Caenorhabditis elegans: one gene and its partners. The protein of the gene in region 1 purifies or fractionates together with the protein of each later gene. This does not show direct contact. Each region holds a gene or a part of one and is shown in the gene's direction. Other genes may lie near its edges.

Region 1 (8,599 bases):
GCTCGTACCCGACACTTGGTCGTACAATTCCAATCTGAAAACGTTATCTGTCGTAATTCTAGAACTGCATATTGCTACATCCGGGGAATAGAAGGCGGAGGTGTCTATAAAAAAGGCGACTAATAACGGATTAGTCTATAATCCTCCAATCCATTTTGGAGTCCCCACCGATTGCTCCGGGCAGATCTGATGCGTCGTATCTGCTTATATACAAATATATATTAATATATTTTGTTGGACGGCCAATGACTACATCCGGTATTTAGTCACTTGTGGGGGGAATTTAGGCACGAAATCATGCTCCGTCAAACATAAAAATAATCGACTTAAATCTTTCGTTTTTGATCATTTAAAAAGTATTGATAAAATGACTCATGTCCAAAAGTCAAAATAAAAAACATAAAGGTCGAAAAACATATTTTAATTTGATTTTGAACGGATTCCCATCGTTTGTTTTTTATTTATAGAAACAATCACGTTTCATCCACCGCAATTTGCAATATACAATGTAAAAAACTCAGAACTGCGGACAATTAAAAGAAGACAGTGGTCAGTTAATATTTTTGAAATATTCCCCAGGAATCGTTTCACAGGAGAATATTTACTGTAATAAAATGAAATAGACAGTTTAATTATGATAAGTTTCAAAAAACTACATTATTGCTAATGAAAAACCTATTAGAATCCTGATGAGTACTTAAGTCAAGCAATGAAAATATGGAATATTGGAGCAAACAAGTAATTGTTTATTGTCAAACGTCCTACCTGGTCCCAATTGTTCAGATTTAAATATGTTACAGTCGCCTTTGCCATTTCACTTGCAGATGTCAGTGCAACTGAACCGAGTGTGGGAAATTGGACACGATCAGAAAGAGCGTCATCTCCAGACATATGAGCAATTATTGGAACGTTCCACCTAGGCGCGAGTCTTCCAATAACCAACATTTCTGAGAAAAAAGAATTACTAAATAACTTGAACATTCTCAAAAGCATTACCATTATTACAACCGGGTCCAAAATACACTGAAGCATTTTTCAAATAATGAAGGAAAGCAGCATGTTCAACTCCCGAATACTTGTTGCAACTTTCCATTGTAAAAACACTAAAATTGGAAAGACTTGTTTTTTTTAAATTCAAACTTCTTACGTTAAAGTATAATTTTGTGGAAGAATATTTCTCATTTTCAAATCGTCTGCGCACATTTTTAGAACATCTGGTTCGTGTGCTATAATAGGGTTCGTGGGGTGAAGGTGACCTATTCGAACAATCCCTTCTGCTGAAACAAAACAATAATTGTTTTATATGTATTTTATGAAAAAGATTGCTCACAACTAAGTGTAGTTTTCACATGTTGATTGATTTCGTCATGACTGATTTTACTGATAGATCTTCTTGACTCCGCAAGTAGCAAAGAAGAAATGAAAAATAAATATAAACGCATTTATCATCTCATATGAGGGGCATTTATCCCGCAAACAGTAACAATTCTTATATATTTTTTACAGGAATGTGTTGATGGAACGAATTCCAATATATGTAGAAGTAAAATGTAAAAAATTCGGAGTAGTTGGATTGATGAATCTCCGAAGGAGGTGTGAAGTCTTATGTAGCCACTCACTTCTTATCATGCCGGAAGGGCCCATCGGAAGTGGATAGATGGGGTTTAATGGAAAGAAGGCAAGTGTGTGTCACAACAAGCGTCGAATCCTACGTTTTTCTGATGTACACTGATGACTAGGTTGTTGTGAATACATTAATAGGATCTCAGCGTAGAACTATGACACTGTCTAATGCAACATCATCGAAACACACGAAAATACTTTTAAAAAAACAAGCCGAGTTTTTTTTTTGGTAGTTTTCAGAATTTTTAACAGTGTTATTCATTTACCAAGTGTACTCCCTATTAGTTATACAGTGTGTAATTTTCTTGCATTTCTAAGAGTCATCCTAATATTAGAACTTCAATCAGTATTTCAATAATTCGGGACAAGACAAGGCGTACCTTGTAGAATTTTCAGATAATTCTTCAATTCCTGAAAAAATAAACCTAGACTTGTTCAAAACGTTTACACATGTTAGCACTTGTCTTGCTTTTTACAACTTAAAAGGCTACTAGAGGTAATACGGGGAATGATTGTGAGACCAATTTTAATAAAATACGTTTCTATGAATCTCAACTTGGGATCAAATAAAAATATATATGCAAAGTCTTTCTGAATAAAACATGGTTATACAATGATACGCGGTAAACTATGAAAAACGGTAATTGTAATATTATGAACCAGCCGTGGTCCGCACCTTCGGCGCGGCCCCCGACTTCTAGGGCTGAAAATCAATTTTTATGAAACTACCGTAACCCTACAGTATTCCTACCGTACCACTATTGTACCACTACAGTACCCCGACTATATCCCTACACTAACCCCAACTCACTATCCCTCCAGAAGTCAAAACTTCACAGACTACAAAGACTACATAGACTACAAACTATGGACACACAGAATAAGCGCTTTATATTATATATAGTAAATTATCATGAAGAACAGAGACATATGAAACAAAAATATCAATCAAAAAACCAACCAGCTTGTGCTCAAACATCTTCTGTTTTTTTAACTTAGTAAATTTTAGTCACGCTAACAGAAATTCCGTACTCTATGAATTTTGTGAACTACAGATTCTAGTGATTCTAGATTCTAGTGTATTAGTTTAGTTATAGCATGGATTCGATTGCATTTTTTCAAATGTTTTTTTTTTTGAAAAATAAAACGAATTTTTGCTCTTCAGTTTCCCAAAGGAATTTCCACCTCACCATCAATCTGTGCAAAGTTCTCCCACTTGATAATCTTTTTTAAATGATCTGATATCAATGATAACAAAAGATAAAAAATATCGGACACAAATCTCTGAATTTTCTTTTTATCTCTCAATATGTCTGAGAGCGCATTGTTTCAATTCTCAAAAAAACCACACTGCAACATTGTCGTAACCTCTTGGGTCAAGTACGCAACGTGTATGCAGATCGGCCCTCTTCTTCTCTTCCCACCGCACACTATTTCACTGTGCACATTTACCTTTTTTGACTGTTTCTTGAGTTCTGAGATGGTATCGTTTTTTCTCGCCGCCTTTTTTCTCGACATTAGCCTTCTAGAAACACTGGACAACGACGCAATTTCGTCCTAGCTGATATGAAAGATGACTATCTTCGACCGACCTTGGCACACACACACACATACACAACATACACAAAACGCTCTCACATTCAATACAGCCACACACACTAAGCGCGCTCAGACACACACAAAAACGGACAGGTCGACTACACCGATTCGGCACGCCTCCATTAGTTTTCCTCGCATTCTCTTTTTCATTACAATGCACTTTTGTCGTTCTTTTCTATCGAAATCCTTTTTTTTTTAAATTTTTTCCATATCTAACTTTCCAGATATGGCTTTCAACAACCTTATCCGCAACTTGGCTATCGGAGATAACGTCTACAAATACTTTGACTTGAATGGTCTCAATGATGCTCGTTACAGTAAGTATAACTATTTTACATCCTATTCTCAATCTATCTAAAATATATCTGCATATATTCAATTTTGGAACTTTTGTAAACGAAAAAAAAAACAGCGAATTTCGACGAGCAAGAATAAATTCATTATGTTAAAGTCATATATAAATCATTTTCTTTAAAAACCTTCCCAAAATTTTCAGACGAGCTTCCAATCTCCATCAAGTACTTGTTGGAAGCCGCAGTTCGTCATTGCGATGAGTTCCATGTATTGAAGAAGGACGTGGAAACCATTCTTGATTGGAAAAACAGCCAGCGTAACCAAGCTGAGATTCCTTTCAAACCAGCACGCGTTATTCTCCAAGATTTTACGTGAGCTTGAAAATAAATTACCAAATTTATGTACATCAAGCAATTTTCAGTGGAGTTCCAGCCGTCGTAGATCTTGCCGCTATGCGTGACGCCGTTCAAAATATGGGTGCTGACCCGGCCAAGATCAACCCAGTATGCCCAGTTGACCTTGTCATCGATCACTCCGTGCAAGTCGATCACTACGGAAAGTACGTTCTGCGCAACCTGGTTTATACATTTATTGTATTTTTTTCAGCCTTGAAGCCCTTGCCAAGAATCAGTCCATTGAGTTTGAGCGAAACAGAGAACGCTTCAACTTTTTGAAGGTAAGGAAAGGTGAAAATGCCACTTTCAGAGTTTCACTGTCACGTTTTACTCTCCCCATCACTTTTCGGAAAATCACGCTATGCATTTGATTGCCCTTATCACTACTTTGTTCAATGAACACACAAATATTCAGATAGCTTAAATGAAATTGTATTATCAAATTATTTTCAGTGGGGATCCAAAGCTTTCGACAATCTTCTTATTGTACCGCCAGGATCTGGAATCGTCCATCAGGTTAATCTTGAATATCTTGCCAGAACAGTGTTTGTTGGAAAGGATGGCGTTCTCTACCCTGACTCCGTCGTTGGAACCGACTCCCACACCACAATGATTGATGGAAGTGGTGTTCTTGGATGGGGTGTTGGAGGAATTGAAGCTGAAGCTGTGATGCTCGGACAGCCAATTTCCATGGTTATTCCAGAAGTTATTGGATACGAATTGGTTGGAACTCTCAGTGATACCGTTACCAGTACCGACTTGGTTCTTACAATCACAAAGAACCTTCGTGATCTCGGAGTTGTTGGAAAGTTTGTTGAGTTCTTTGGAACTGGAGTTGCATCGCTCTCCATCGCCGATCGTGCAACAATTGCTAACATGTGCCCCGAATATGGAGCAACAATTGGATTCTTCCCAGTCGATAGCCGTACCATTGACTACCTCACTCAAACCGGACGTGATACCGATTATACTCAACGCGTGGAACAATACCTCAAGTCTGTTGGCATGTTCGTCAATTTCACCGATGACTCCTACCGCCCAACATACACTACCACTTTGAAATTGGACCTTGGAAGTGTAGTGCCAAGTGTCTCCGGACCTAAGCGTCCACATGACAGAGTTGAGCTTGCTTCTCTGGCTCAAGATTTCTCCAAAGGGCTCACTGATAAGATCTCCTTCAAAGCTTTTGGCCTTAAACCAGAAGATGCCACTAAATCTGTCACAATTACCAACCACGGAAGAACCGCAGAGCTTACTCACGGGTAAGACTATAAATTAGAAGTACATGCAAAAAATAATGTTTCTTCCAGATCCGTAGTTATTGCTGCCATCACATCCTGCACAAACACCAGTAACCCAAGTGTCATGCTCGCAGCTGGATTGGTTGCCAAGAAGGCTGTTGAGTTGGGATTGAATGTCCAACCATATGTGAAAACATCCCTCTCTCCAGGATCAGGAGTCGTCACAAAATACCTGGAAGCATCTGGTCTTCTTCCATACCTTGAGAAGATTGGATTTAATATTGCTGGATATGGTTGCATGACATGCATCGGAAACTCTGGGCCACTTGATGAGCCAGTAACAAAGGCCATCGAAGAGGTATTGTTGAAACTACTGTTTTCTTTTCAAAATAATTGTTTATTCAGAATAACCTTGTCGTTGCCGGAGTTCTCTCTGGAAATAGAAACTTTGAAGGAAGAATTCACCCACATGTTCGTGCTAACTATTTGGCATCTCCACCTTTGGCTGTTCTTTACTCGATCATCGGAAACGTCAATGTTGACATTAACGGAGTTCTTGCTGTTACTCCTGACGGAAAGGAAATCCGACTAGCCGACATTTGGCCAACCAGAAAAGAAGTTGCCAAGTTTGAGGAGGAATTCGTGAAGCCACAATTCTTCCGCGAGGTGTACGCTAACATTGAGCTTGGATCCACGGAGTGGCAACAATTGGAGTGCCCGGCTGTCAAGCTTTACCCATGGGACGATGCCTCTACTTACATCAAGAAGGTTCCATTCTTTGATGGAATGACTAGCGAGCTTCCATCACAATCCGATATTGTAAACGCACACGTTTTGTTGAATCTCGGTGACTCGGTAACCACTGATCATATTTCTCCAGCTGGATCAATCTCGAAGACCTCTCCCGCCGCCAGATTCCTTGCTGGACGTGGAGTAACGCCAAGAGATTTCAACACTTATGGAGCTCGCCGTGGTAACGATGAGGTAAGAGTTTATTCATTCAATATATGATTTTCTAAAAACTTTGAATTTAACAACACATCACGTTTTTTTTTAAATTTCAGATCATGGCTCGTGGAACATTCGCCAACATTCGTCTTGTTAATAAGCTTGCGTCGAAGGTTGGTCCTATTACACTCCATGTGCCATCTGGAGAAGAGCTCGACATCTTTGACGCTGCTCAAAAGTACAAGGATGCCGGAATTCCAGCCATCATTCTTGCTGGAAAAGAATATGGATGTGGCTCATCTCGCGATTGGGCTGCAAAGGGGCCATTCCTCCAAGGAGTCAAGGCTGTTATCGCTGAAAGCTTCGAAAGAATTCATCGTTCCAACCTGATTGGAATGGGCATTATTCCATTCCAATATCAAGCTGGTCAAAACGCTGATAGTCTCGGACTTACTGGAAAAGAACAATTCTCAATTGGAGTTCCAGACGATTTGAAGCCAGGACAGCTCATTGATGTGAATGTATCCAATGGTTCAGTTTTCCAAGTCATCTGTAGATTTGACACTGAAGTCGAACTCACCTATTACCGCAACGGAGGAATCCTCCAATACATGATCAGAAAGTTGATCCAATAAACTGTTATTTTAGCTTAAATTTTTGAAAGTCAATTTTTTCTATTTTTAGATAACTATTTACTTTTCGATGCATCAATCCTTCTCTATTTTCTGTGATATTTTATGAACATGTTTGAAGTCCAATAAATTTGTGATTTGGAGCAACGAAATAAATCAATACTTTTTATAATTGGGCTATAAAACATGTGGATGGTCAAATTTATTTTAGTTTTGGCGTCTCTGTTTTGCTAAAACCACTTAAATTCGTAATATTTTACTAAAACTCAACAAATAACGTATTTCTACTATTTATAGGAGAAAGAAATGTGCTTCCAGTTTGACAGTGTTTAGGATATAACATTTTGCAACTTTTTCTTAAAGGTCGTCATCACTAATTGTATTTTTTGTTCTCTCAGTCATAAGAGTATAAATAAATAAGAAAACATCTTCATTGAGAACAACAAAATTGGGTGTAAAAGCTCAAACATTCTAGTTGTTTGAACAAAATGAACAGAGAGATTACGGTATTTATTTGTACTGAACTGACTTTTTATAGACTAACATTTCAGCAGTTCATTCGTACTATTCAGTCCCATTTAAAAGTGCACACTCACCCAATAAAATCTCAGTTGCCCTATAGCTAACATCACTAAAGTAATATGAGACCCTTGCCAGCGCAAAAGATATTTTTATTTCAAAATAAGTAAATTTTGCATAACTTTACGTTCTTTGCCAGAGAAATGAATGAAGACTGTAATAATTGACCGCTTAGCCGTTCATCAAACAAATAGAAGAGTCGGGAGGAAGTATAATCTTTTGTGAGTAAATGCAACACCTTTCCATTATTAGTCGACACTTTTTGATTTGGAATTAATTTCTGAAGCTTTCCCTCTACAAAATGTTATATTATTCTTGTGATAAAATTTCTCATGTTCCACCAAAGGAACACGCATGTAAAAAATTTACAATCCATGTATCAAGGTTATTCACGCCATTTTTGTGTGTTTTGCGATACTTGACAAAGAAAAATCAAGAGGTGTTTGAAGCAAAAACAATTCTTCATGTTTTTTGTTTTCGCTCCATTTTGAAAACGAATGCAACAATCGGTTAAGCCTCTTTTCTTTCACACAATATTTCGTTTTTGCGGACTCATTACTTTTTCAACTTCACTCATCAAGTGTCGCTTTTTCGTTTTCTTTTCCGGACTTAGTAAGTCATAACTCTCATTTTCTTGATGACCGCTAACTGCAACTGTCACTTTAAATTAATTAATGAATGAAGTTCTGCTGCATTCTTTTTTTCATTCCCTACTCCATTATCTTGTTTTTTCGATGCATATTTCGAATTATTTGTAAAATAATTATATTTAAATATCTTGAATATTAACTTGAAAAAACTAAACCTTAATAAAAAAAAATTATCGTTATTCAGTATTTGTTTTAAGAAAGTCAAATTTATATATATATATATATATTTTCAACATCCTTATTTGTAATTTTCAAAAATTAATTGAAAAAAAAAACCCAACAACTTATTTTTTTGTCATAGCTTTTATTTCAGATATTTTTTTTTGTTTAACAATATTTTTCCGGAAAAAAAGTCACTAAAAACCGAAAGTCATAAACCTAAAAATCACTTCATATGTTGAAAGTATGCATTTTATGGATATCTCAAAAGCAGCTTTATTCAGTATAAAATTTCATTGAGTTCATTCAATTTCAAACATTGGTTAGCTTTTGATTGCCAACTTGATCATTTGATATAAAAAGAAAAAACCTCGGGCGAAAAAAAAAACACACAGAAAAGTTTAATTTGTTAGTGTGTGATGTACCCAGACATTCGGAATCGACAGTTGTTAGAAAATTGAAATGACGAAGAACACGCA
Region 2 (10,700 bases), on another chromosome or scaffold:
ATGTAACATATCGAATGCAATTATAGTTTATAATAATTTTCATATTGTTCTTAACATTTTGTTAGTTGATTATTTTTTGTATCTTCGAAGTCCATCAAGATGTGAAGCTTCAAAAACAACAACCGTTTGACTTAAATACGGATTCGGAGTAAAAAAAACGTCTTAACATCAATTTGGGCAAGGTTTTATTTTGAATTTGACATGTTCATTTCATTAGCTTTCAGAAAACATATAATTCATAACTCTCTGGACATCAAAAAAAGAGTCCCTAGTTAGCCTTTTTAATTTGTTAAAATTATAATAAAAATCGGAAATTATTGAAATTTGAATAAATTTACCAATTGTTTGGAAACGTTCCTTTATTATATACAAGGGTTAACAAAATTAAATAAATAATAAAGATAATGCAAAAGTCTGTTGAAAATATTTCTACATTTGGGAATATATGTTGCAGTGTTTCAATACATTTTTATTAGGCGGTTTACAAATTTCCTACGGTTTACAAAAAAATTAGTGTTAAAGAAAACCAGTAAAAATTGACTATTTTAACGATAATTGTCAAAAATTCGAGGGGGTGCTATAGAAGTTGGACGGCCGTTTTTTCAACTTTTTGACCTAATTTCCGTAGTTTTTAAGATATTCTCACAAAAACCGAGGTGTGGCGGTTTTTTAACATTTGTAATCGAACTACATTCACACTTTTTCAAAATAATTTCCAGAAAGCCTCAAACACTCAAAATAGAGGGGGGTGCTATAGAAGTTGGACGCACTGTATGTTGCAGTGTTTCAATACATTTTTATTAGGCGGTTTACAAATTTCCCACCGTTGCGCTTCAGTTTTATGTATTTTTAAATTTTCATTTCTGTCTAATTCACAGACTTTTGCTTGCTTCACTGTTTTGTATACTTTTTTTTGAAACACCGTACTTCACCGTGCCAAAATTTTTGCAAAAAATGTTTTAAAAAATTGTAACCAAATTTGTCTTGATTAGAAATTTTGACTTAGAAATTTTGAAAATTGATTGTTTTTAAAAAATCGGAAAAATTGAAAAAAACCCCAATATTAAATTTTATGTGAAAAAAACATATTAAAAGCGCTCAACTTGCATTTCAAATCGAGACTAACTTGAAATGTGAATAAATTTACCGATTGTAGAAAAACTTCAAAACTGCAAATTTAAGCAAAATTGCACCAGTTAACAGTTAAGCTATTAACGGCTTACGTTTGCTTAAAGTTTGCAAAAAAATGTTTAACTATTTCACTAAAACTTCATTAGGCGTTTCAATAAATTTTATATAATACAATGAGAAGCAATGTGAAAATCCAATAAAATTCAAATGAAAGATTGATAACATGCCTCATTTTACTATTGGTATGAGTTTTCTATTAGTATTGTAACAGTATTAACATGTAGCAATATTAACTGTAATTTCCCCATATATTTGTGGAGATTTTTATGCTTAAGGTGGATTTGAATGACTGTTCTCATGAGGAAATATGAACAACTTAATATTCAAATTTGTTTATATTTCCAATAATAAAAAAAAAATAAAAATAAAAAAAATTTCGCATGCTGAAAGACGCCGAAAGTTTTTTTTTCATCGTCGACCAATTTTTTTTAGCGAGTGACATTTGCCGTTTGCCGTTTGCAGCACCTAAAATAAATAAAAAATAAATAAAATTGTTGTTTAAACCTTTTTATTAGTGGAAAACGTAATAAGAAATTTGCAAATTTAATTAACCCAAGCTGAGTTTTTCTAAAAATTTGCTATATTCGCGATACATTTTTTTACTGTTTCAAGGAATCCTCATGGAGATTTTCAATAATTTACAGTTGATCCCATCTTCATCAATAATTTTGTCCTTCAAATTTTGGAATTTGTCGCGCGCACAACCCTGAATAATTGTTTATTATTTTTCTGTTAAGCCTAGTATCAGAAGATAAATTAAAAACGAAAAAACTCACTATTTTCAATTTCAAATAAATTCACGTTTTGTAGTCAGATCGGTTTTCCAAAATTAAAAAAAAATGTTATCAAAATATCTGTGCACTTTGAATCAGTCACACAATGTTCACAAATTCATCTCTAAATTCAAAAATTAATCTCAACCAGAAACGGTACTTGTAGTTTGTATCAGAATAATTTCCTACGTGTTTCTAGTAGATTTCTAGTTGGTTCATTGAACAATCATCTTGATGACTGCTAGAGATAAGACATAGAACAGCTAGTGATACCTTATCAATGTCATCCCCTTCTGTTGTCGATTGTCTTTTTCATTTTTGATTTTTGTGTTCAGTTCGTTATATAAATAGAGAGTAGTGGAAAACTGACAAAGTTCCTGCAAACTAAACCCGTCTGAGCCAAAATTAATTGTTTTCAAAACAGTTTTGTCACCTTTCCAAATAATCCTTTTCAAAAACAAAATTATTTTCAGTTTCACTGTGTGTTTATAAGTTTCACATTTTTCAGTTTTTTTTGGTTTTGCTACATCCGCGTTAGTTTTTTAACTTACAAATTTTCGCTGTATTTTTTTTTTAATTTTTACATTCCCCTTTTTAGAGCTGTGACAAAAAAAGTAATTTTTTCTGAAGCTAAAAATGTTTGCCCAAAAGTTTTCGTGCAACTTGTTTTCAAAGCTACAAAAATAGTGTCAAACTTGAAAAAAATTTAATTTTGCTATAGTTTAATTCAGCAAAAAATTGTATGTATGTAACTTTTTAATCCATACTACTGATTTGATTATATTGTTTGATTTTAAAAAAAAGTCAATATTTGCAGATCAAAAATCCCAAAAACCAAAATGTCCCCAAACTGTGGTTTAAAATGTCATGGTGGTCCAGGATATGCATCTCCAGCTGATGCTATAAAAGGACCACGAGAAGAAGTTTTATTTGTGACTGCTCCAAATGCAGCTGATGGTCCTGATGCCATTTTTACAGTTGATGTGAATCCAGAGAGTGACACTTTTTGTCAGGTAAATTTTATTTGTAAAGTTGATTTTTTTTCTTGTTTGGAGGAAAAAAATACTGTTTCAAAAAGACGTATTGAGTTTTAGGAATAACTAATTTTTTGATTGTCTTTTGTAGATCACGTCCATAAAGCTTGAAATAACTGTTTCTATATCAGAAAAATTGTTCAAATTACCGGAATAAAATTGCAATTTTGCAATTTTCATCTCTGTTGCATCAGCCAAAAATAAATCAGGAAACTTTGATTTGATCTCTCTGATTTCAAGGTTATCTCAAGCTTAAGAGTTTTAAATCGATTTGCACGATATATGATTGTATAGTAAAAATTAAAAATTATTATTTAATTGAAAAAATTATCGGTTTCAAAATATTGATATCCACTCGTAGTTTTAGCATTTAGAGATCGATCAATCATAACATTTTCCAGTAAAATTAATATTTTCAGGTGATCAGCCGAGTTGATGTGCCACATATTGGTGATGAAGTCCATCATACTGGATGGAATGCGTGCTCTTCTTGTCATGACAAACCAACTGAGAAGAGGTTAGTTAAAATATTTATTGTTTTAGGATGATACTATTACTCTATTAGTACAGGTGGCAAAATTAAATCAACTGTTCGAAACATCAAGTTTTGTTTAAAAATTTTTTTAATTAAATTTTCATTTTTGAAGTGTGGTTTTCCGACTTTTTTTTTTTAAAAAGTGGTCACAATAACATGTTTTTTTTTATTCTTCAAACAAAATCATCATATATTTGATAAATCTATAGATTCTCCCTTGTTTGTTTTTCTGATTTTTAGATTTTCTCAAGAAAAAACTGATAAACCTAAATTTTTCCACGACCCTTGATACGGATGCAAAAGCTTTGTAATAAAATCAGATCAGAGCGACATTCACGAGAAGATCATTTTTATAAATTTAGTTAGACTTGAACCAATTTCTTGAAACAGTTTTTTAATTCGAATTTACAAACTTCACATTTCAGTCAACTGAAAGATCAATAAATTTTTAGATCGGAGAACTTTCATTAACAAACCAAAACAGTAGAATAATTTCTAAATAATTTCAGATCCCATTTGATCGTTCCTTGCCTGAACTCTGACCGTATCTACATTATCAACGTAGAAAATGAGCGTAAAATCTATCTTGAACATACAATTGAACCATCAAAACTTCATTCTCTAAACCTTTCATTTCCACATACTTCACATTGTCTTGCCGATGGAAATATTATGATTAGTACTTTGGGAGAAGCTAATGGAACTCCATCTGGTAACTTTTTGTTGTTGGATGGAAAGACATTTGAGCCGAAAGGAACATGGCCAGCTGACGAGAAGACTGTTCCGTTTAACTATGATTTCTGGTACCAGCCAAGGAGAAATGTGATGATTTCTACGGAATGGGGATCACCGAATCATATTAAAAAGGGATTTAATCCAGGTGGGAAAACTGAAAATACTTTTAAAAAATCACTGTTTCAACACCTCTTGTTTCATTTTACCAAAAATTAAAATTATTCCTTGCGGCATGAGCCATCAGCATCACTAAAAACCAAAAAGTTACAAATTTTTTTAAAACATGAAATTTTCCAGCTCACGTCGGAGAGGGTCTCTACGGAAACAGTGTTCATATTTTCGAATGGGACTCTAAGAAATATCTTCAAACAATTGATCTACCACAGCCACTTGGAGCACTTCCACTTGAAGTTCGATTCCTCCATGAGCCAACCAGTGAGCACGCTTTTGTGGGATGTGCTCTTGGATCAGGAATTTTTAGAATTCATCCTGTTGAGGAGGTGAGTAATATTCAATAGAATTTTCAGAAAAATTGAAATGTTTCAATAAGTTATTATTTGTTTAGAAACTGAGATTAATATGTTAAAACCGTAGAATAGAATCAAGATTAAAATTATTGTAAAACTAATTTGCCGAGCTCGGAAAATTTTGAGAACTGCCGCACATCCTTGATTGGGAGGTAGCAAAGTTTCCAAAACTGTTGCTTCTTCCAGAGTACTCAAATTTTATTCCATGAAAACTCTTCAGTAGAGTGTTTGATTTTTCAAAAGTTTCAGTCAATTGAAAATGGTTAAACAGTTTTGGAGATCAATGCCGTGATTTTACGAAAACATTGAAACATTCAAAAAACTTTTCAGTTTCAATTTGTCCTCATAACACACTCTGTTGTTTTTAGTTTAGTTCTGTTGGTATTCCTGTCATCTATTGAAATAGATCCGGTTTTTAGAATTCATCCTGTTGAGGAGGTGAGTAATATTGAAAAGAATTTTTAGAAAACTTTTAGAAAACTGTTTCAATAGGTTATCATATTGTATCTTATTGGAAGTTTATTTCATTTGCTAATCCAAAAAAACGTATGAAATCAAATATAAATGATCTTCGTAGGGGGAGTTGACAATTTATCAATAGTACTGATATTTTCGTTGTCAGTAATTGAATAGCAGTGTTGTAAGCTGATGTGTAACTTTCTGGGATCACCGAAACATTGCATTAGAAACTTTCAAGTTTAAAAATAAATAAATTGTTTCAATACGTTGTTATCAAAACTTCCGTTCTATTCAATTGATTTTTTTTCATTCCCGAAGTTTTCTGAGCAAGTTCTTTGGCAAAATGACTAACTTTCGAGAAAAATGTGGACATTTTGAGAAAATCAGAGCGCTTTCGTACATTTCAAATCCTTTAATGCTTTGGCATACATGATTAGGGCATAATTTGAATTTGAAATTCAGAGAAAGTTGTGTAGACCAAACTGCTATTTTTCTTTTTTTTCATTTGGAAGAACCAATATTAATTCAAAATAGTTTCAGTATTTATAGACTACTTGAAACATATAATAATTTTTAAAAAATATCTTTGAGTGTTTTTAATAATTTATTTTTAAATCAGTTTATAGATTCATTAAACGTTTAACAATGATGCAAATACTAAAAACGTATTTTTCCGAGTTTTTTAAAATTAGGTTAGTGAAACAGTAGATTTTTGATGAACCTTTTTTTAAAAAGCAGCATGCATTTAGTTTTGACAAAAAGTTCAAATCGATTTTTTCTGCGTGACTGTGAATCAAGAAAACTCGGTCAATTAAAGAAAGAAAAAATATTTTTTTTTCGACACTAAAAAATAATTTTAAAGCGCGGACATTATAGTCTCAGTGAAACTTTATTCAAACCAAAACGTTTAATCAGCTAATTGAAACATTAAAAATTTTATGATTTTGTTAGTTTTTCTAGCAATGTCAATGCAATCAAATAATTTTCAAGTAAGATGTTTAATGAGTTATAGACTTTTTTATTAAATTTTTGAAAAAAAAACCGATTTCAGATTTAAGTAAAATTATCTCTGCTTCTGCTGCATTGCTGCGAAACAAAAATTCCTTTCTGTGCAAAGTATAGTCTCACTGGAAATCAAGTTCGAGTGACAATTAGAAATCTCACCGGGTTTTCTAGATCATCTGAAACATATAATTTTAAAAAATTGACACCTTGTTCAACTTGAAACATTTAATCAGCCAATCGAAACATTAAATGTCTCATGATTTTTAAAGCTCTTTTAGAACAGTCGATAAGTCACGCCACAGTTCAATTGAAAACAATTTTCTAGCGAGATGTTAAATGAGTTTGTTGAAACAGTAGATTTTCGTGTAAACTTTTGAAAACAAAAATTACGTTTTAAATAAAATTATATCCACTTCAGCAGTGTGCCCTTGAAACAAAAAAGCTCGATCAAAAAATTTATTTTTTGTGAATGGCCACCAACTTTTCAGGCAAAATTACAAAAAAACATAAAATTTACTGTTTCAAAAAGTTAATATAATTTTGGCAGCGCATATACCTACACTTATTTCGACAGTTCGCGATAACCTCTTTTTGAAAATAAAGTTTTTCAGAAAAGTTGCTTCTTTCCTGTTCTCGAGGTGTTCTTTTAACACACTTTGTATTTTTTTTCTTGTAAAATCTCAAAATTCTGATAGTCAGTATGAAAATAGTTGCCAAATGTTTGTTGAATACTACTGAAAACAAATCTTCAGTGATACGTTGAATGAGAAACATTCAATTTTTCAAATAATTCCAGAACTCAACAACCCATGCAGCTACTCTCGTTGCCTTCATTCCTTCTAAAAAAGTAAGTGGATGGGCTCTTCCAGAAATGCCAGCTCTTATAACTGATATCCTTATCTCAATGGATGATCGTTTCCTGTATGTCTCGTGTTGGCTTCATGGAGATATTCGTCAATATGACATTTCTGATCCATTGAAGGTGAAATTGAATTCTCAAGTTTATATTGGAGGAAGTGTACATACGGAATCAAATGTAAAAGTTCTAGAAGGTGAAAAACCAATTGAAGCACTTTATGTGAAGGGACGGAAAATTGAAGGAGGTCCACAGATGTTACAGTTGTCATTGGATGGAAAGAGACTTTATGTTACAACTTCTTTATACAAGAAATGGGATGATCAATTCTATCCAGAACATGTCAAGTGAGTGCTACTTATGAAAAAATTTAGAATTATTTCTGAGAAAAAAGTTACCGTTTCATAAATGTAGTATATTTTGAGCAAACTATTTCCGCTCACTTGTGGGGCTATTCGCGAAATGTAATTCTTTTTTATTCATTTTATTCATTGAACCTTTGTCCTTACGAAACAAATTATCTCGAATTTTGTAGTTTACACTAAAAATACGCTCATGGTGAAATTATTGTTTAGAAAAAAAATCACCGTTTCAAAAATCTTTCATATTTGCAGCGATTCTCTCTCACTTGCTGAGTTGATTTTATCACGAATTCATGTTTTTCTTTGTTTTTCTAGTCTAAATAATTTTTAAAAAAAAGAACAACTATGAGAAATCGATAAAACAGTTCAATAGCTGCAGCACCGAAAGTTTGAAATTACACTACTCTTTAAAGGCGCACACACGTTTTCCGTTGAAAAAATAGTCACGTCGAGACTTGGTAATGTTTCTTTTCGTCCGCTTAATAATTCATGATAATTTCAAAAAAAAAACACCAAATTCGTCCTACTTTCTCAATGGAGCGCGTTTGCAACCCTGTCATTTTTCAGATCTGGCGCCACAATGGTTCAAGTCAACATTGATCCAGAATCTGGAAAAATGGAAATAAATCGAGACTTTTTGATCGATTTTGGAAAAATTGAAGGAGGTCCCTATTTGGCTCACGAGATGCGTTATCCCGGTGGAGATTGTACATCGGATATTTGGATTTAATTTGGTTTTTTTTAAAATGTTTTGCATAAAAAATTAGCTTGTACATATTCATCACAATTCATTCAGATTTTCAAAAAAAAATTGAAAGGATTTTTCAACTCATGATGCAACTAGAAAAACGGGGGAAACCAGGCGAATAAATATTGAAAAAAGGGGATTTTTGTAATGTGAACGAAGCAATCATCATATATGGTACAAAGAATGTGGCGAGTTGAAATCACGGGAATTTAGTAGAATTGCACAAAAAAATTATGGATTAGAAAGTAGGAAGAAAATATATGAACATCCGGAATTCTCCTCAATAAAAACTGGCTCCTTTTATCGATTGTCTTTTTCATTTTTGATTTTTTGTTCAGTTCATTATATGAATAGACAGTAGTGGAAAACTAACAAAGTTCCTGCAAACTAAACCCGTCTGAGCCAAAATTAATTGTTTTCAAAACAGTTTTGTCACCTTTCCAAATAATCCTTTTCAAAAACAAAATTATTTTCAGTTTCACTGTGTGTTTATAAGTTTTAAAAATGAAAGACATTTGATTCAAATGACCTACAACTTTTCTGAATATCTCAAAAATGAAAACTCAAAAAAGATGATCACTCGAACTAAATGCCCAGAAATTTTATTTTTGTTTTTAAATGAATTTTTAAAATGAAAGACAATAAATTCAAATGACCTACAACTTTTCTGAATATCTCAAAAATGAAAACTCAAAAAAGATGATCACTCGAACTAAATGCCCAGAAATTTTATTTTTGTTTTTAAATGAATTTTTAAAATGAAAGACAATAAATTCAAATGACCTACAACTTTTCTGAATATCTCAAAAATGAAAACTCAAAAAAGATGATCACTCGAACTAAATGCCCAGAAATTTTATTTTTGTTTTTAAATGAATTTTTAAAATGAAAGACAATAAATTCAAATGACCTACAACTTTTCTGAATATCTCAAAAATGAAAACTCAAAAAAGATGATCACTCGAACTAAATGCCCAGAAATTTTATTTTTGTTTTTAAATGAATTTTTAAAATGAAAGACAATAAATTCAAATGACCTACAACTTTTCTGAATATCTCAAAAATGAAAACTCAAAAAAGATGATCACTCGAACTAAATGCCCAGAAATTTTATTTTTGTTTTTAAATGAATTTTTAAAATGAAAGACAATAAATTCAAATGACCTACAACTTTTCTGAATATCTCAAAAATGAAAACTCAAAAAAGATGATCACTCGAACTAAATGCCCAGAAATTTTATTTTTGTTTTTAAATGAATTTTTAAAATGAAAGACAATAAATTCAAATGACCTACAACTTTTCTGAATATCTCAAAAATGAAATCTCAAAAAAGATGATCACTCGAACTAAATGCCCAGAAATTTTATTTTTGTTTTTAAATGAATTTTTAAAATGAAAGACAATAAATTCAAATGACCTACAACTTTTCTGAATATCTCAAATATGAAAACTCAAAAAAGATGATCACTCGAACTAAATGCCCAGAGACATTATTCATGTTTCAAAATGAATGTATAAAATGAAAGACAATAAATTCAAATGACCTACAACTTTTCTGAATATCTCAAAAATGAAAACTCAAAAAAGATGATCACTCGAACTAAATGCCCAGAAATTTTATTTTTGTTTTTAAATGAATTTTTAAAATGAAAGACATTTGATTCAAATGACCTACAACTTTTCTGAATATCTCAAAAATGAAATCTCAAAATAGATGATCACTCGAACTAAATGCCCCGAAATTTTATTTTTGTTTTTAAATGAATTTTTAAAATGAAAGACAATAAATTCAAATGACCTACAACTTTTCTGAATATCTCAAAAATGAAATCTCAAAATAGATGATCACTCGAACTAAATGCCCAGAAATTTTATTTTTGTTTTTAAATGAATTTTTAAAATGAAAGACAATAAATTCAAATGACCTACAACTTTTCTGAATATCTCAAAAATGAAATCTCAAAAAAGATGATTACTCGAACTAAATGCCCAGAAATTTTATTTTTGTTTTTAAATGAATTTTTAAAATGAAAGACAATAAATTCAAATGACCTACAACTTTTCTGAATATCTCAAAAATGAAATCTCAAAATAGATGATCACTCGAACTAAATGCCCAGAAATTTTATTTTTGTTTTTAAATGAATTTTTAAAATGAAAGTCAATAAATTCAAATGACCTACAACTTTTCTGAATATCTCAAAAATGAAATCTCAAAATAGATGATCACTCGAACTAAATGCCCAGAAATTTTATTTTTGTTTTTAAATGAATTTTTAAAATGAAAGACAATAAATTCAAATGACCTACAACTTTTCTGAATATCTCAAAAATGAAAACTCAAAAAAGATGATCACTCGAACTAAATGCCCAGAAATTTTATTTTTGTTTTTAAATGAATTTTTAAAATGAAAGACAATAAATTCAAATGACCTACAACTTTTCTGAATATCTCAAAAATGAAATCTCAAAAT
Region 3 (6,994 bases), on another chromosome or scaffold:
GAACGTGCATATCAGATTTGGAAAAATGTGATATTTTTACAAAAATATTTCTGGAGAATTACTCCCCCTCCGTTCCTCCTTCACCCCACACGGTCATTCCAAAAACAACTGATAATAATGAGATTTATCCTGAAGACATTTTCCAGCCATTTATTGTTGAAAGTGTTCTGAAAAAACTTCCTCCTAAGCTCGGGTTTTCACTCCACCATCTCAATTTTTATATGCTCAAAAAATGTGCGACACCGCTCGCGTTACTCCTCTCTATTATTTACTCCCAGTCATTGAAAGAATCAACCATTCCCTCCATTTGGAAGCATGCCACTGTCATTCCTATACCCAAAAAAGGCAACCCCTCAAATCCATCTAATTATCGTCCAATTAGCTTAACTGATACTATTGCTAGAGTAATGGAGAAAATTATTTCACACCGAATCAAGTCTGAATACGGTCACCTCATATCCAAACATCAACACGGGTTTCTAAATTTTAGGAGCTGCACCGCAGCCCTCACTCGATCTTCCTCTCTTTATCATTCTATACTCCATGAACACAAACGTCTTGATATTATATTTTTCGATTTCTGCAAAGCTTTTGATAAAGTCTCTCATGACATACTTATTTCTAAAATCAAATCTCTTGGCATCAACCCCGTCTTTTGCAATTGGATATCCTGTTTTCTAAGCAATCGCACTTTCTCAGTCAAAATCAATTCCACACTCGGCAAAACGGCTTAACTTCATAGCATACTCTTGCAACTTCTTAACAACAATTAGGCATTTTAGCTTTTAAGCAAACTTCTGCAGCTTTTCAGACGATTTTTGCAATTTCTTAGAGCTAAATTTCGCTCACAATCCCGTTGGTTTTCGCAACTTCTTAACAGCTTTTTACAAAGTTATATAAATGTTTTTATTAAGTTGCAGGAGTTTGCTATGAAGTTGCGACGTTTTGCCGAGCAGTTTCCGCTAATGCTCTCCTCCCCATTCCTTCTGGGGTGCCCCAAGGAACAGTTACAGGTCCCCTTCTCTTTATATTGTTTTTGAACGACCTACTCCTATCCATACCCCCTTCTATTCAATTTTCTTGTTTTGCGGACGATGTGAAAACATTCAGTCACGATCCAATTGAACTTCAAAGCACAATTGATCTCATTGTAGATTGGTCTATGAAAAATCAGTTGCCGCTTGCTCCCACCAAAACGGCCCTACTCCACATAGAAACTCAAAACCCTAGGCATAATTTCAATATTGACTCCCTACCCATCGTCCCCAGTTCCTCTGTTAGAGACCTCGGGCTTATCACCGACGATAAATTGTCATTCAAATCGCATATCAATAGAACCTCTTCCCTGGCATTTCTTAGGGCAAAACAGATCCTAAAATCCTTCCCCTCTGGCTCCATTAAATTCTATGTGAACCTGTTTAAAACGTATGTCTCACCAATTCTTGACTATGGGTCCCACATTTACTCCCCTCCCCCTCATTCAAAACTGTCAGGTACATTAGAATCCGCTCTCAAATACTACTCAAGAATAATACTACAACGTAACAATATACAATACAAAGTATCGGAAACATCACATAGAAACACCTCATTAGTTTATTCACTTTCATATAAAAACCGCCTAAGCATTCTCAACATGGCCACAGCCCGCTCAACACGCTTAAAATCACAGCTTATTCTCTTGTATAAAATTATAACAAGCGCTGTACATTTCCCAGGTGCAAAAAGATTCATTTTGCATGTCAGATCTCAACGTCGGCCGATGCTCCTTTCTCTAGTCAATCCAAAGTCCAAAGGTTTCTTTTCTATTGTCGTTCCCCTTTGGAACAGTATAGTTCACAATGTATCAACATTCCTTTCCCCCTCCCAGTTTATGAACCTCATAAACCAACAAATCTCATACTTTTAAATTTCTCGTTGATTTATCCTCTTCTGTCAAATAGTATTTACTTTTTTCATACTTAAGATGGACTCTGACGGGTCTTTCTTATTTTATGTGTTATTCGATTTTCCCCGTTGATCTTCTATGTACTACATTTTGTTACTATTTATCTAACTTCGAATAAACAAACAAACAAGCCATGGCAATGTACGGATCACTTGGGAAAATCGGCTATGATCGAGAAGAAGATCATAGCCGACAAGTTCAACTCGAATTTCATATGGATCTTTGTTGATGCTGCCGATAAATATCCTAAACAAATGAATATCAAAGCCAATCAGGAGCACATCATTTATGGAGAAAAGTGTCGGCTTGTCGGCTTTTTGGAAACGGAGTCGCCATCAACCGGACGTTTTTCGACAAATCATTCGACCTGGACTCATTCGCGACCAACTGTCTGTTCGTGTTCGAGCGCTGTTGATAACTTTTTTAATTAAATGATTTTTTTTCAATACTGTGTTTTTTTAGCCGGAGAACGTTTTACGCATTCCTTCAAAACTTTGGCAAGCCGAATGGAGCGACTTGATCAAACAATTTCCGACCGTATTAGAATTGTTGATGGAGAGATCAGTCGACACTCCGATAATGAAAAAATCTGCGAACAAGCCGCTTGTACCCTCAAAACGTGCGATAATGTCATCGTGGATGTGAAGAAGGAGCTGGAGATGCTTCATAGTTTGAGACTAGAAGATCAGAAGAAGAGCCTTATGAATCTGATTGCTAAGGTACAGAAAAGTGGAATGATTCAAGATCTGGAAAAGTGGAGAAGTCTTATGGAATCTCGTTACATCTTCGATAACACATTTTCTTCTGCCACACCACATGGAGTTCTTGTCGAAATGTGTCAATGTCTTGAGCTGATGAGTTCAATGTTGCGATCTGTGGAGCAATCAATTGCAGATAGAAATCACAACGGAGTCACTGAGAAACAGCTTCACGAGTTTAAATTAGCCTTTGATTATTTCGATCAAGTAAGTATTTTTGCTAATTATTTAAAATTATATTTTATCCACGTCACTATTCTAGGAAAAGAATGGATGGCTAGACTATGAGCACTTCGAGTTGTGCCTCAAATCTCAAGGATATAACTTTTCAGTTGAAAGTACTCTCAAAGAGACGATGTCCCTCTTGGATCCATCTACGTATGAAGTTATAATTTTAATTTAAAACAATTTCACCTATTTTTCAAAACTGGTCATGTTCAGAAGCATGACTACATGCGTTATATGGTGAAGCATGAGACAACAAACATTCTTGACGATCATTCAGCCATTGAAGATGCTTTGAAGAACCTGGATGCAAGGAAGATTTCGGATGTAATTCCATATTTTCATATATATAGTTAAAATACATTATGATTTTCAGAGTATGTCTCGAAAAGAAGCTGAATTCTTCATGAGCAAGATTGCAAAGAAGGCCGAGACCAGCTCAGACCAAGTTTGCCTGGAATATAAGGATTTCGTTAACAGTTTTTATTAAATTATTATATGATCAAATAAAATATATTTTAATGGTCAATTATCAATATTTTTTGTAATAAAGTATGTATTGTTTGTTTTTACAACATTGTTTCAATGTATCTTCTGAAAACGTGTACTCCGAACGCTTCCATACTTGATTAATCTTATCATAAAACTTCATCATCAAAATCACATGAAAAAGGGCGTGAAAAACGTGAAAGCATTTTATTTCCATTTTTTAGAAATCATTATTATTCTTATTGTTCTACTACAATGCCATTCGGAGGTGCTGCTCCAGTTGCTGCCGGCGTTTCTGCTCCAGACGCTGACGATGTTCCTTCTCCAGATTATGCAGCCACCTCAGGTCTTCAGCTCGTTCGTCCTCATAGGGTGAAGTCTTCGTGCCTTACCCTTCGTAACGGCGGAGATGATTGCTTCATGAACGTTGTATTGCAGCTTCTGAAGCGTGCTTCGTTTGAAGATCATCTCCGTACATGTTGCGTTGGTGAGATGCATGAAGAGCTGAGGAAACTGCTCTCTGGTGAAAAAGACGTTGTCGGTCATCTGAGAGGAATGCTGAGCAGTAGCGAGCTGCACAAGGGAGTCAATTCGCCGTCATTTGCATTTGTAATTTTGCTAAAAGTGAGTATCAGATATTAATACCGTATTTCCTCTATTAGTAAATATTGCAGTCTCTAATAGTCTTCCATCCCACTTTTTAGACCTGCAAAACTTTCCGGAAACGTCAGAAAATTTGCCATTTCTGAGTAAATTAAACATGAAATGGTTCAAATAATAGATAAAATATTGGAAAATGGTCGCTTTCCCTAGGTTGTTGGGCATTCGAAAAATAGTCTTACAACCTCTAATATTCTTGCAGTCTCTATTAGTCTTGCACCCTAACGGACCAATTGAAAATTAGTCTTGAAAACTAGGCATGCAAGACTAATAGAGGAAATACGGTAACTTATTTTGTAACTACCCAAAACCATGCGTGCTTATTTTATCGCCATATTCGATGCGCAAATATCACATGAATACAGTAACCCGGTCGAATCAGTCACATCAAAAAAATGGTATTTCCTCGTCGAATATGGCCGCCGTTTTTCAAATTTTTGGTGTTTTTTTGAGAAAAAAACCGAGAACGAGAATTGGAATAAAAAATAACATTAAAAGGCGAATTTTAAAAAAAGCGAATGAAAATGCGAATAATTTAGAGAAGTTTCCTTAATTTCTATTTAAATAGAGGAACTAAATTTTTCGAAGATATATTAATCTAAATTTGTTAATTTTGAAAAAAAATCAGTTCAATATAAATTTCAGGACTTGGCTGTAGAGTGTAAGAACGACGCCAAGGTTCCCCATCCCATGCGGTACAAGAGCCACGTTGTTTGCAGTGTTCAAGGCTGCACAAAGCCGAAGCCGTCGAATTGGCCACTTTTCTGTGTGAAATTGCCAAAAGGAAAGTCGTTCACCGACATGGTGCTCCAGAAGCCATGGGAATGTAAGGACCACTTGGGAAAATCGGCTATGATCGAGAAGAAGATCATAGCCGACAAGTTCAACTCGAACTTCATATGGATCCATGTTGACTCTGCTGAGGGACGTTACAAACAAATGAGGATGAAGGACAACCAGGAATTCATCATCTTTGGAGAACATTGTCGGCTGGTCGGCTTTCTGGACGTTAAGATAGTACCCGAAGGCTTACACGGAATCGTTTGGATACATAATGGCGGAGGTTGGAGCCGGGTTTCGGATCATCACAAGAAGGAGTTTTGGAGCACGTCATTCGACATGGACTCAATCTATGCAGGCGCTCTGTTCCTGTTCGAGCGCAAATAAGAACTTTGTTTTTTAAATTAAATAAATTTTTTTCAATACTGTTTTTTTTAGCCGGACAACGTTTTCTTGCCTTGAGGATGGCCCCAAGTGATTTTATTCTTTTAATAAAATATAATCCAAACAAGAAAAGGTCAAGGCCCCCACGAGTCCGACAAAGAAAGAGAGGAACAAAATAATAGTGAGACCGGCAAGCGGAATGAGAAAGAAAAAAGAGAACAAAAAGGGAATTAGAGATCATAAACATAATTAAAACCGGAAAAATATTCAAATGAGGAATAAATCATGTAACAAATTGACGGGGAAAGAGAAAATGGGGAGTATTATGGAAAATGGATTTCCAGAAGGGGACAGTTGAGGTGAAAAAATCACTAACTTTGGGTTTTATACATATAATAATCATAAGCCTTTTTTGGGACTCTGTTATTCTGATCTGATCGTTTGAGTTAACTCCTAATGAGTAAAATACGAGGTACCGCTAATTGCAAGAAAATCACAAAACTTATTCTCAAAAACGGGTTCTGATTTAAGAATTTAATCAATAAACGATGTCCTTGTAACAAATGATACCACTGATCATTCGACCCTTTTTATTATCATTTCTCCATATCAGACACCTCCTGCAAATCCTTTGCATCTTACTTATCTCTTTTACCAATCGTTCTCTCAATGTTACAATTCAGATTGTCGAAAGATCATGTATCTACCTATTTTTTGTATTTTTCTGTCAGTTGTCGATTCCCTTCGAATATTGCAAATTGTACCCGGTTTCACTAATTCTCATGTTTTATTCAATTACCGACTTGCAGAAACCCTCAGGTATATTTAACGAGGGTTTTATTTTATGAAAAAACCAAAAAAAAGTTAATAAAAATGAAAAAAAAATGCTAAATGCTAAATTGTGTTTTAGAAATAACCTCAAAAAAAAATCCGCAGTTTTTATTTAAGATTTCTCGGTCATGATGTCAAAATGTGGACTCAAATGGAAATGGCGATGCTTGACACGGGAAATAACAAACTTCCGGAAGGTGTTTCTGAATACAGAATACCAATTCATTTCACGGATACTTTGAAAACTGAAGGATTGAAAGTAATCAATTAAACATTCCAAATATCTATTTAAGAAGTTTTTGCAGGTCTTCCAATCAATGATGTTCGAATCAGGAGATGCTCATGATTTATGGTGGACTGGTCAAGAATTCAAAGATATGAGAGTAGAAGCATGTGAACAAATGCTTCGACACGATGAAAGTGTGTATGAAGATTTTAGGAAAGACGGTTTTGATGTCGCCATTGCACATTTCCATGATTTGTGTCCACTTGCAATTGCGAAGAAAATGAATGTAAAAAGAGTAAGTGGAAGAGGAAAAGATTAGGATCTAGAAGAGTATCTTAAATTTAGGACTTGATGATTTTTATCGACTTTTAATAATTTTTAATTAATAATATCTAATCATGATTAGAAAACTGCATGAAAATCCGGATGAAAACTGAAATTGCCGATATCTTTCAAATAAAACACAAATATTTATGAGATGAACTTTACTTTTTACAAGATTCATAGTTCAGAGTTTTATTTTTAAAACAAAAAATAAATAATTAAGGTAATCTGGATAACACATGGAACATCAATTTACGAATTCTCGGCTGTACAGCTTGGACTTCGAACGATTCCATCAACGATTCCGCATCCACTTTCTTCAGGTATTTGACGCGTCTAGCTCAATTTTTTAGTAAGCAAAACTTTTCA
Region 4 (5,938 bases), on another chromosome or scaffold:
TGTGAAATGCCGCTTCTTGGATCGATTCTGCACGAGGTAGCAGACTCTGCGTCTCTCGCTTTGCAACGATGTCTAGTAGTGTTAGCGGTGGGGCGCGATTGCATTGCTCATTTTTAATATTTTTTATTTATTATTTAAAACATTTTTTAATTAATAAAAGCGAATAAATTTGAATTTTTCCAGAATGTCAGACTTGTATCGAAATAAGAAAATTTTGGCGCCGATGGTTCGTGCTGGAAGGACACCCCTGCGGCTTTTATGCCTGAAATATGGCGCGGATCTCTGCTACACCGAAGAAATCGTCGATAAAAAATTAATTGAAGCGACCCGAGTTGTCAATGAAGCTCTCGGAACAATCGATTATCGAAACGGAGATGATATTATTCTGAGGCTAGCACCAGAGGAGAAAGGGCGTTGTATTCTGCAAATCGGCACCAATTCCGGAGAAAAAGCGGCGAAAATCGCCCAGATTGTGTGGGAAATTATACTTTATGTTTATAATTAACTAATAAAAATTCAGTGGTGATGATGTGGCTGGAATTGATGTCAACATGGGCTGCCCGAAGCCATTTTCGATTCATTGTGGAATGGGCGCGGCGCTTTTGACTCAAACCGAAAAAATTGTCGATGTAAGAGGAAATTTTGAAAAAAAAACACACTTTCTAAACTAAAAAAAATCCCATTTTTCAGATTCTAACATCGCTAAAATCCGCTGCAAAAGTCCCTGTAACCTGTAAAATTCGAGTACTCGATGACCCTGAAGACACTCTGAAACTGGTCCAGGAAATCGAAAAATGCAGAGTTTCAGCGTTAGGAGTACATGGAAGACGGCGTGATGAACGGCAACCGGATAAATGTAGAATTGATGAGATTCGTGACGTGGCACAGGCGGTTCAAAGTATTCCCGTTATTTCAAAGTAATTATTCGGGGTTTTAACCGGAAAATTCGAAAAAAATCCGGATTTCAGTTTGAAAATTTTTTTTAGAAGATTTTTGATTTTTAATCAAATAAAATCATTAAAAAATATTTAAAAAAAATAGATTTTCCAGTTCTAAAATAGCAGTTTGTCGATTTACGCAGAAATTGTGTACTCCACGAGGAGAAAAGATTTTTTAAAGTTGAAAAAAATTATCCACGCGGAGTACACGAGAGCTTTGTGCATTGCGTATTTTTAAAACTACCGTATCTCTTTAAAATTGAAGAGTTTTATAAATATTATTGGAACACAAAAATGCGTATCAAGCAACATATTTGACGCGCAAAGTATCTCATAGCGAAAACTGCAGTAGTCATCCAAAGGATTACTGTAGAAGATATTTTGCGCGTCAGATATGTTGCGCATTACGCATTCTCAGAGTTTTTGTGCTCCCGTAATTTTTTCAGTGAAAATTGAAAAATCGAAAATCGAAATTTTTTCGATTTTTCGATACTCTGTAAAATCGAAAAATAATTTCAAAAAATTAACCATAAAATATGACTTTTTTATATAATTTTGCTTATATTTGTAAGAAAAAAACATACAAATTTCTTCTAAAAAGAAGAATAATGGCAAAATATTAAGCTAATATTTGAAAAATCTAAATTTTTTGCGAAAAATAGGAAAATCGAAAAACCGACACCCTTGCCCGTAATAGAAAACATCGCAAAAATCAATTAAACAATTAATATATACATTTTTCAGCGGTCTCTCCGACGAAATCGAGCAATATTCAGATTTTGAGAAATATCAGCTGTTAACCGAGACAAGTAGTACAATGATTGCCAGAAAAGCCCTCTCAACTCCGTCAATTTTCCGTCGGGAAGGATGTTTAGATAAATACGAAGATATTCGAAATTTTCTGGAACTCGCGTGCCAATACGACGAGTCTTACACTATGACAAAATACGTTGTTCAACGGATTCTGGGCGCCGATCAGGAATATGATCCACGTGGAAAGGCGACGGTTGCCGCCGGAAGTGTACTGCAGATTTGTAAAGCGTTTGGAATGGAGGATGTATATGATGTACGGGATTATATCTGAAAATCCGGCAATTTTCGCACTGAAAATGTGTGGAAAACACATTGAAAATCACAAAAATTCACTTGAAAATCCAATTTTATTTGAAAAATTTGATGAAAATCACAAAAAGTTAAAAGAAAAACAATATTTTCATGTATTTTCAATGGAAAATCCAAAATCCAATTTTCGTGGCTTAAATTGACTTTTCCAGTCATTTTTTGCCCTAAAATTCAATTTTCACCCAGAAAATATGCCGGAAATCGAACAAAAATTGATTTTCAAAGAATTATTCAGCTTTTCAGTTGAAAAAAAAACGTAAAACAGCAATTTTAGCGTCGAAAATTGGATTTTTCCCACTGTTCTGCAACTTTTTGCTCGAAAATTACACAAAAAATTACGGAAAAATTGGAAATTTTCAGAAATGGCGAGATGAACGAAAGAAGAAACAGAGTAAGAAGCGAGCTCGTGTTGACGATGACGGTGTTTATAATATTGAAGTCTCATTTCCATTGTAAGAATTCCTCCTAAACAAAAAACCATTAATTTTCTGCAGAAAACGCCTGAAAAACTCGGTCGGCTTCTCGCCAACGCCCAAAATGGTGCTTCACGACTATTGTGTGGAGACGAAGATCCCAAAAGCCACGTATGAGGTCGTAAAACGAGATGATAAGCGATTCGTGGCGACGGCGTGTATTGGTGACAAGAAATATCGATCAGGAATTGGACAACCGAATTTAAGAATGGCTGAGCAGGTCGCCGCGCTCGCAGCCTTACATGGAATGAATATTCGGAATCTTTTGGTTGGAAATTGGGAAGAAGAATGATGTTAAATTTGTTTTTTGCTATTTTTTTGTTAAATTATATTGAAAAATTGTTTGTTTTTGCTATAATTTGCATTTAAAATCGGTTTTATTCCATTAATTATCGAATCCCCACTGCGCGCGCGGGGATGGCAAAACGCCGTGCGGCAGTTGCAAATGGGCGGAGTTTGGAGAATTTAAAAAATATTCGAATTTATTTCGCAATTTTTAGAGATTTTCAGGCTTTTTTCAGAGTTTTCATGCGTAATTTTCACTTTAAAATGTTATTTAAGTGTGTAGGATTATAGAAATGTAATTTAATTCCGCAAATTTTGTTGAAAAACTTGGATTTTTGCAATTTTTGCAGATTTTTACATGATTTTCTTCTAATTCTCCTGTTTCAAGTCAATTTTCTCTCTAATTTTCCAAATTTTCAGGTAACAAAATGACTGACTACGGAGATGCTGATAAATACGTCAACGACGAATCGATCGAGATGGCTTGGGCGATCAAAGCCGGCGAACGGTCCGAAGTTCACATGAATCTGATAATGCGGTGTGACACTCGGGTTCTTCGGCTCAACAAGCATCAGGATGCGATTCTCGCCGCATTTCGAAGCTCATTCCCCGATTTGAATGTGGAGGAGGTGACGACGAGTTTGCTGAAAGACGGCGGAGCCAAGGAGACATGGCGCGAGTTTTGTGAGCAATTCAAGGATATCGTCGACGATTATTCAATGGGAACACTGATGAGAATTCATGCTTCGAAGGCTTACAGTCCGGAAAATACTGTGGTTGTTCCAAGAGTTAGTGGGACCCAAATTGGAAATTTTTGTGATTTTCAGCATGATTTGTAGCTAGAAATTGCAGTTTTTGCGTTTTTAGCCCAGTTTTTAGCTAGAAAACTCAGATTTTGTGATTTTCGGCATGATTTGTTGCTGGAAATTGCAGTTTTTAGCTTAAATTTTTGGGAAAACTTCAATTTCCAGCCAAAAACCCCTCATCCCTCATTTTCCCATACAAAATCGATCGATAATTAATTACAGATCATCTACCTGGCAATCGAGATGGCACGCAACGTGGAGGGTGTCAACGAGAAGAATAAGGAGGCATACACGGCTCACCGCAATTCGCTCGCCTCCTTGTAATAATTTCTCTCGTTTTTTTTTTTGAATTTTTGTTGATTTTTCCCCGTTTTCTCGTTTTCCACCCTGTCGTTTGTCTTGTAGTTTGCATATAAACCGATTTCTTCGTTTTTAAAAATGATTTATTTCCAATTTCTCGAGTTTTCCAGCTCTTTTTACTTATATTTTTGTTTATTTTTTTTCCAAAAATTGATTTTCAGATATTTTTCTCTAAGAAATGTCGATTTTGATGAATTTTTCTGTGCTAAAATTGACTTTTCAAAATTTTCTCATAGACACGTGGGATAAATGCCCTAAAACTCAATTTTAGCCTGAATAATTCGTGATTTTTGATAATTTTTCATCGGAAATCGAATGTTGGATGCTAAAAACGTTTCTTTGGCAATTTTCGAATCCCCACCGTTTTTTCTCCATTAAAATCTGGATAAGCATCTCAAAATTCATGAAAAATCACTTTTTCTGTTAAAAAGTGTTTTCTGTGATTTCTGAGCGAAATTGTCAAAAAAAAAAAGTGATTTTCGCTTCGAAAATTCGAATTCCCGAAGGAAAAACCATCAAAAACCTCTGTTTTTGAATAGAAAATGTCTAAAAATCAATAATTTCCCAATTTCTTTTCTTTCTTCTCCATAAAAATTTAATTTTCCAGAAATGTCGCTTTTCGGTACAAGTACCACGGCTCCAGCTGCTTCAACAACACCTCTTTTTGGCTCAACGGCTGCTGCTGCTCCAAAGCCTGGAGGCCTCTTCGGTGCGCCTGCTGCTGCCATGTCATCAGGGCTCTTTGGAGCATCTCAGACAGCTCCTGCACCAGCTTCTGCAGGACTTTTCGGCTCAACAACTGCTCCTACACCTGCTTCAACGTCTTCAGTTCCACTATTCGGTTCGACAACAACCACCGCATCACCATCTGGAGGACTTTTCGGAGCCAAGACAGCCACCACAGCAGCTCCCGCGCCGACTGGTGGGCTCTTTGGAGCATCAACGGCTGCTCCGGCGACTGGAAGTCTGTTCGGAAGTACTGCCCCGGCTACTGGAGGTCTTTTTGGCGCGAAATCGACCACATCGGCGGCTCCGACGTTGGTTTTAGAGCTTTCGATGCATCTAAAATTGAATTTTCAGGCTTGGAGGTGGACTTTTTGGATCGAGCACGGCTCCGGCGGCGGCGGCAACGACATCATTTGGAGCTCCACCAGCGACTGCAGCTGCTCCATGTTAGTATAGATGCTGGAGCTTCTTTTTTCTCTGTTTTCAGCACAAAAATTCCATTTTTTGCGAATTTTCAGCTCTAAAATGCTTTTTTAAATAGAAAATTGCCACTTTCAACTCCTTATTTGGAAATCCTATTTTTCGCCGAATTTCGACAAAATTTTAGTTATCAAAACTAGCGTTTTTAATCTGAAAATCGGACATTTTCAGCTCAAAAGTGTGTTTTTAATCGAATATAGTACGATTTTTATGTTCAACAACGCTAATTTTATAGAAAATTGGAAAATTTTCTAACAATACATCAAAAATCCTTATTTTCCTCCTATTTTTCAGCCAAAAATGCGTGAAAAATAAGCAATATCCATTTAAAAGCTTTATTTTGTCGATTTTTCTTCAAAAATTGGCGTTTTCCGGCAATTTGGCTATTTGCCGGTTTACCGATTTGCCGGAAAAAAATAAAATTCTAAAATTTCCAACATTAATGTGCAAAACCGCAATTTGCAGGAAGTTTTCGGCAATTGCCGCTTTTCCGGAAGATTCGGCAATTTGTCGGTTTGCCCATTTGCCAGAAATTTTCAATTTCGGCAATTTGTCGGTTTGCCGGAAATTTTCAATTCCGGCAAATTCGGCAATTTGCCGGAATTTTTCAATTTCGTCAAATTTGCCGGCTTGCCGATTTGCCGGAATTTTTCAATACCGGCAACTTGTCAATTTGTCGGTTTTCCCATTTTCCAGAAATTTTCAATTCCGGCAATTTGCCAATTTGCCGGAAAAAATCGTTTGCCGC

The links.
Region 2: the proteins of aco-1 (region 1) and semo-1 fractionate together in Caenorhabditis elegans (co-fractionation; one large-scale study listed by BioGRID). This does not show direct contact.
Region 3: the proteins of aco-1 (region 1) and C07A9.13 fractionate together in Caenorhabditis elegans (co-fractionation; one large-scale study listed by BioGRID). This does not show direct contact.
Region 4: the proteins of aco-1 (region 1) and Y54E5A.5 fractionate together in Caenorhabditis elegans (co-fractionation; one large-scale study listed by BioGRID). This does not show direct contact.

The regions. Positions count from the first base shown.
Region 1 is NC_003284.9:11,336,428-11,345,026, forward strand, and holds aco-1 (Cytoplasmic aconitate hydratase), read left to right. Parts: upstream 1-3,446; 5' UTR 3,447-3,448; coding exon 3,449-3,539; intron 3,540-3,718; coding exon 3,719-3,887; intron 3,888-3,937; coding exon 3,938-4,075; intron 4,076-4,122; coding exon 4,123-4,192; intron 4,193-4,364; coding exon 4,365-5,173; intron 5,174-5,221; coding exon 5,222-5,510; intron 5,511-5,557; coding exon 5,558-6,136; intron 6,137-6,216; coding exon 6,217-6,735; 3' UTR 6,736-6,900; downstream 6,901-8,599. Other genes in the region: Receptor-type guanylate cyclase gcy-9, read right to left, coding at 1-34, 766-947, 997-1,103, 1,148-1,277, 1,331-1,442. UniProt on the Caenorhabditis elegans protein: Catalyzes the isomerization of citrate to isocitrate via cis-aconitate. Has probably no RNA-binding activity.
Region 2 is NC_003282.8:14,048,419-14,059,118, forward strand, and holds semo-1 (Methanethiol oxidase), read left to right. Parts: upstream 1-2,781; 5' UTR 2,782-2,803; coding exon 2,804-2,977; intron 2,978-3,076; exon of another isoform or gene 3,077-3,097; intron 3,098-3,375; exon of another isoform or gene 3,376-3,396; intron 3,397-3,417; coding exon 3,418-3,515; intron 3,516-3,530; exon of another isoform or gene 3,531-3,551; intron 3,552-3,577; exon of another isoform or gene 3,578-3,599; intron 3,600-3,856; exon of another isoform or gene 3,857-3,877; intron 3,878-3,949; exon of another isoform or gene 3,950-3,974; intron 3,975-4,042; coding exon 4,043-4,413; intron 4,414-4,490; exon of another isoform or gene 4,491-4,511; intron 4,512-4,565; coding exon 4,566-4,768; exon of another isoform or gene 4,769-5,233; intron 5,234-5,318; exon of another isoform or gene 5,319-5,343; intron 5,344-5,406; exon of another isoform or gene 5,407-5,427; intron 5,428-5,553; exon of another isoform or gene 5,554-5,574; intron 5,575-5,750; exon of another isoform or gene 5,751-5,772; intron 5,773-5,890; exon of another isoform or gene 5,891-5,911; intron 5,912-6,076; exon of another isoform or gene 6,077-6,097; intron 6,098-6,114; exon of another isoform or gene 6,115-6,135; intron 6,136-6,377; exon of another isoform or gene 6,378-6,398; and 20 more.
Region 3 is NC_003281.10:9,677,951-9,684,944, reverse strand, and holds C07A9.13 (USP domain-containing protein), read left to right. Parts: upstream 1-3,638; 5' UTR 3,639-3,675; coding exon 3,676-4,044; intron 4,045-4,725; coding exon 4,726-5,247; 3' UTR 5,248-5,286; downstream 5,287-6,994. Other genes in the region: putative calcium-binding protein C07A9.5, read left to right, coding at 2,116-2,341, 2,411-2,913, 2,969-3,091, 3,148-3,258, 3,308-3,421; Putative UDP-glucuronosyltransferase ugt-60, read left to right, coding at 5,942-6,063, 6,193-6,334, 6,381-6,596, 6,849-6,948.
Region 4 is NC_003279.8:14,705,176-14,711,113, reverse strand, and holds Y54E5A.5 (Polysaccharide biosynthesis domain-containing protein), read left to right. Parts: upstream 1-3,238; 5' UTR 3,239-3,246; coding exon 3,247-3,606; intron 3,607-3,846; coding exon 3,847-3,948; 3' UTR 3,949-4,055; downstream 4,056-5,938. Other genes in the region: dus-2 (DRBM domain-containing protein), read left to right, coding at 185-474, 521-629, 691-917, 1,683-2,004, 2,421-2,512, 2,555-2,825; npp-4 (Nucleoporin p58/p45), read left to right, coding at 4,594-5,021, 5,065-5,156.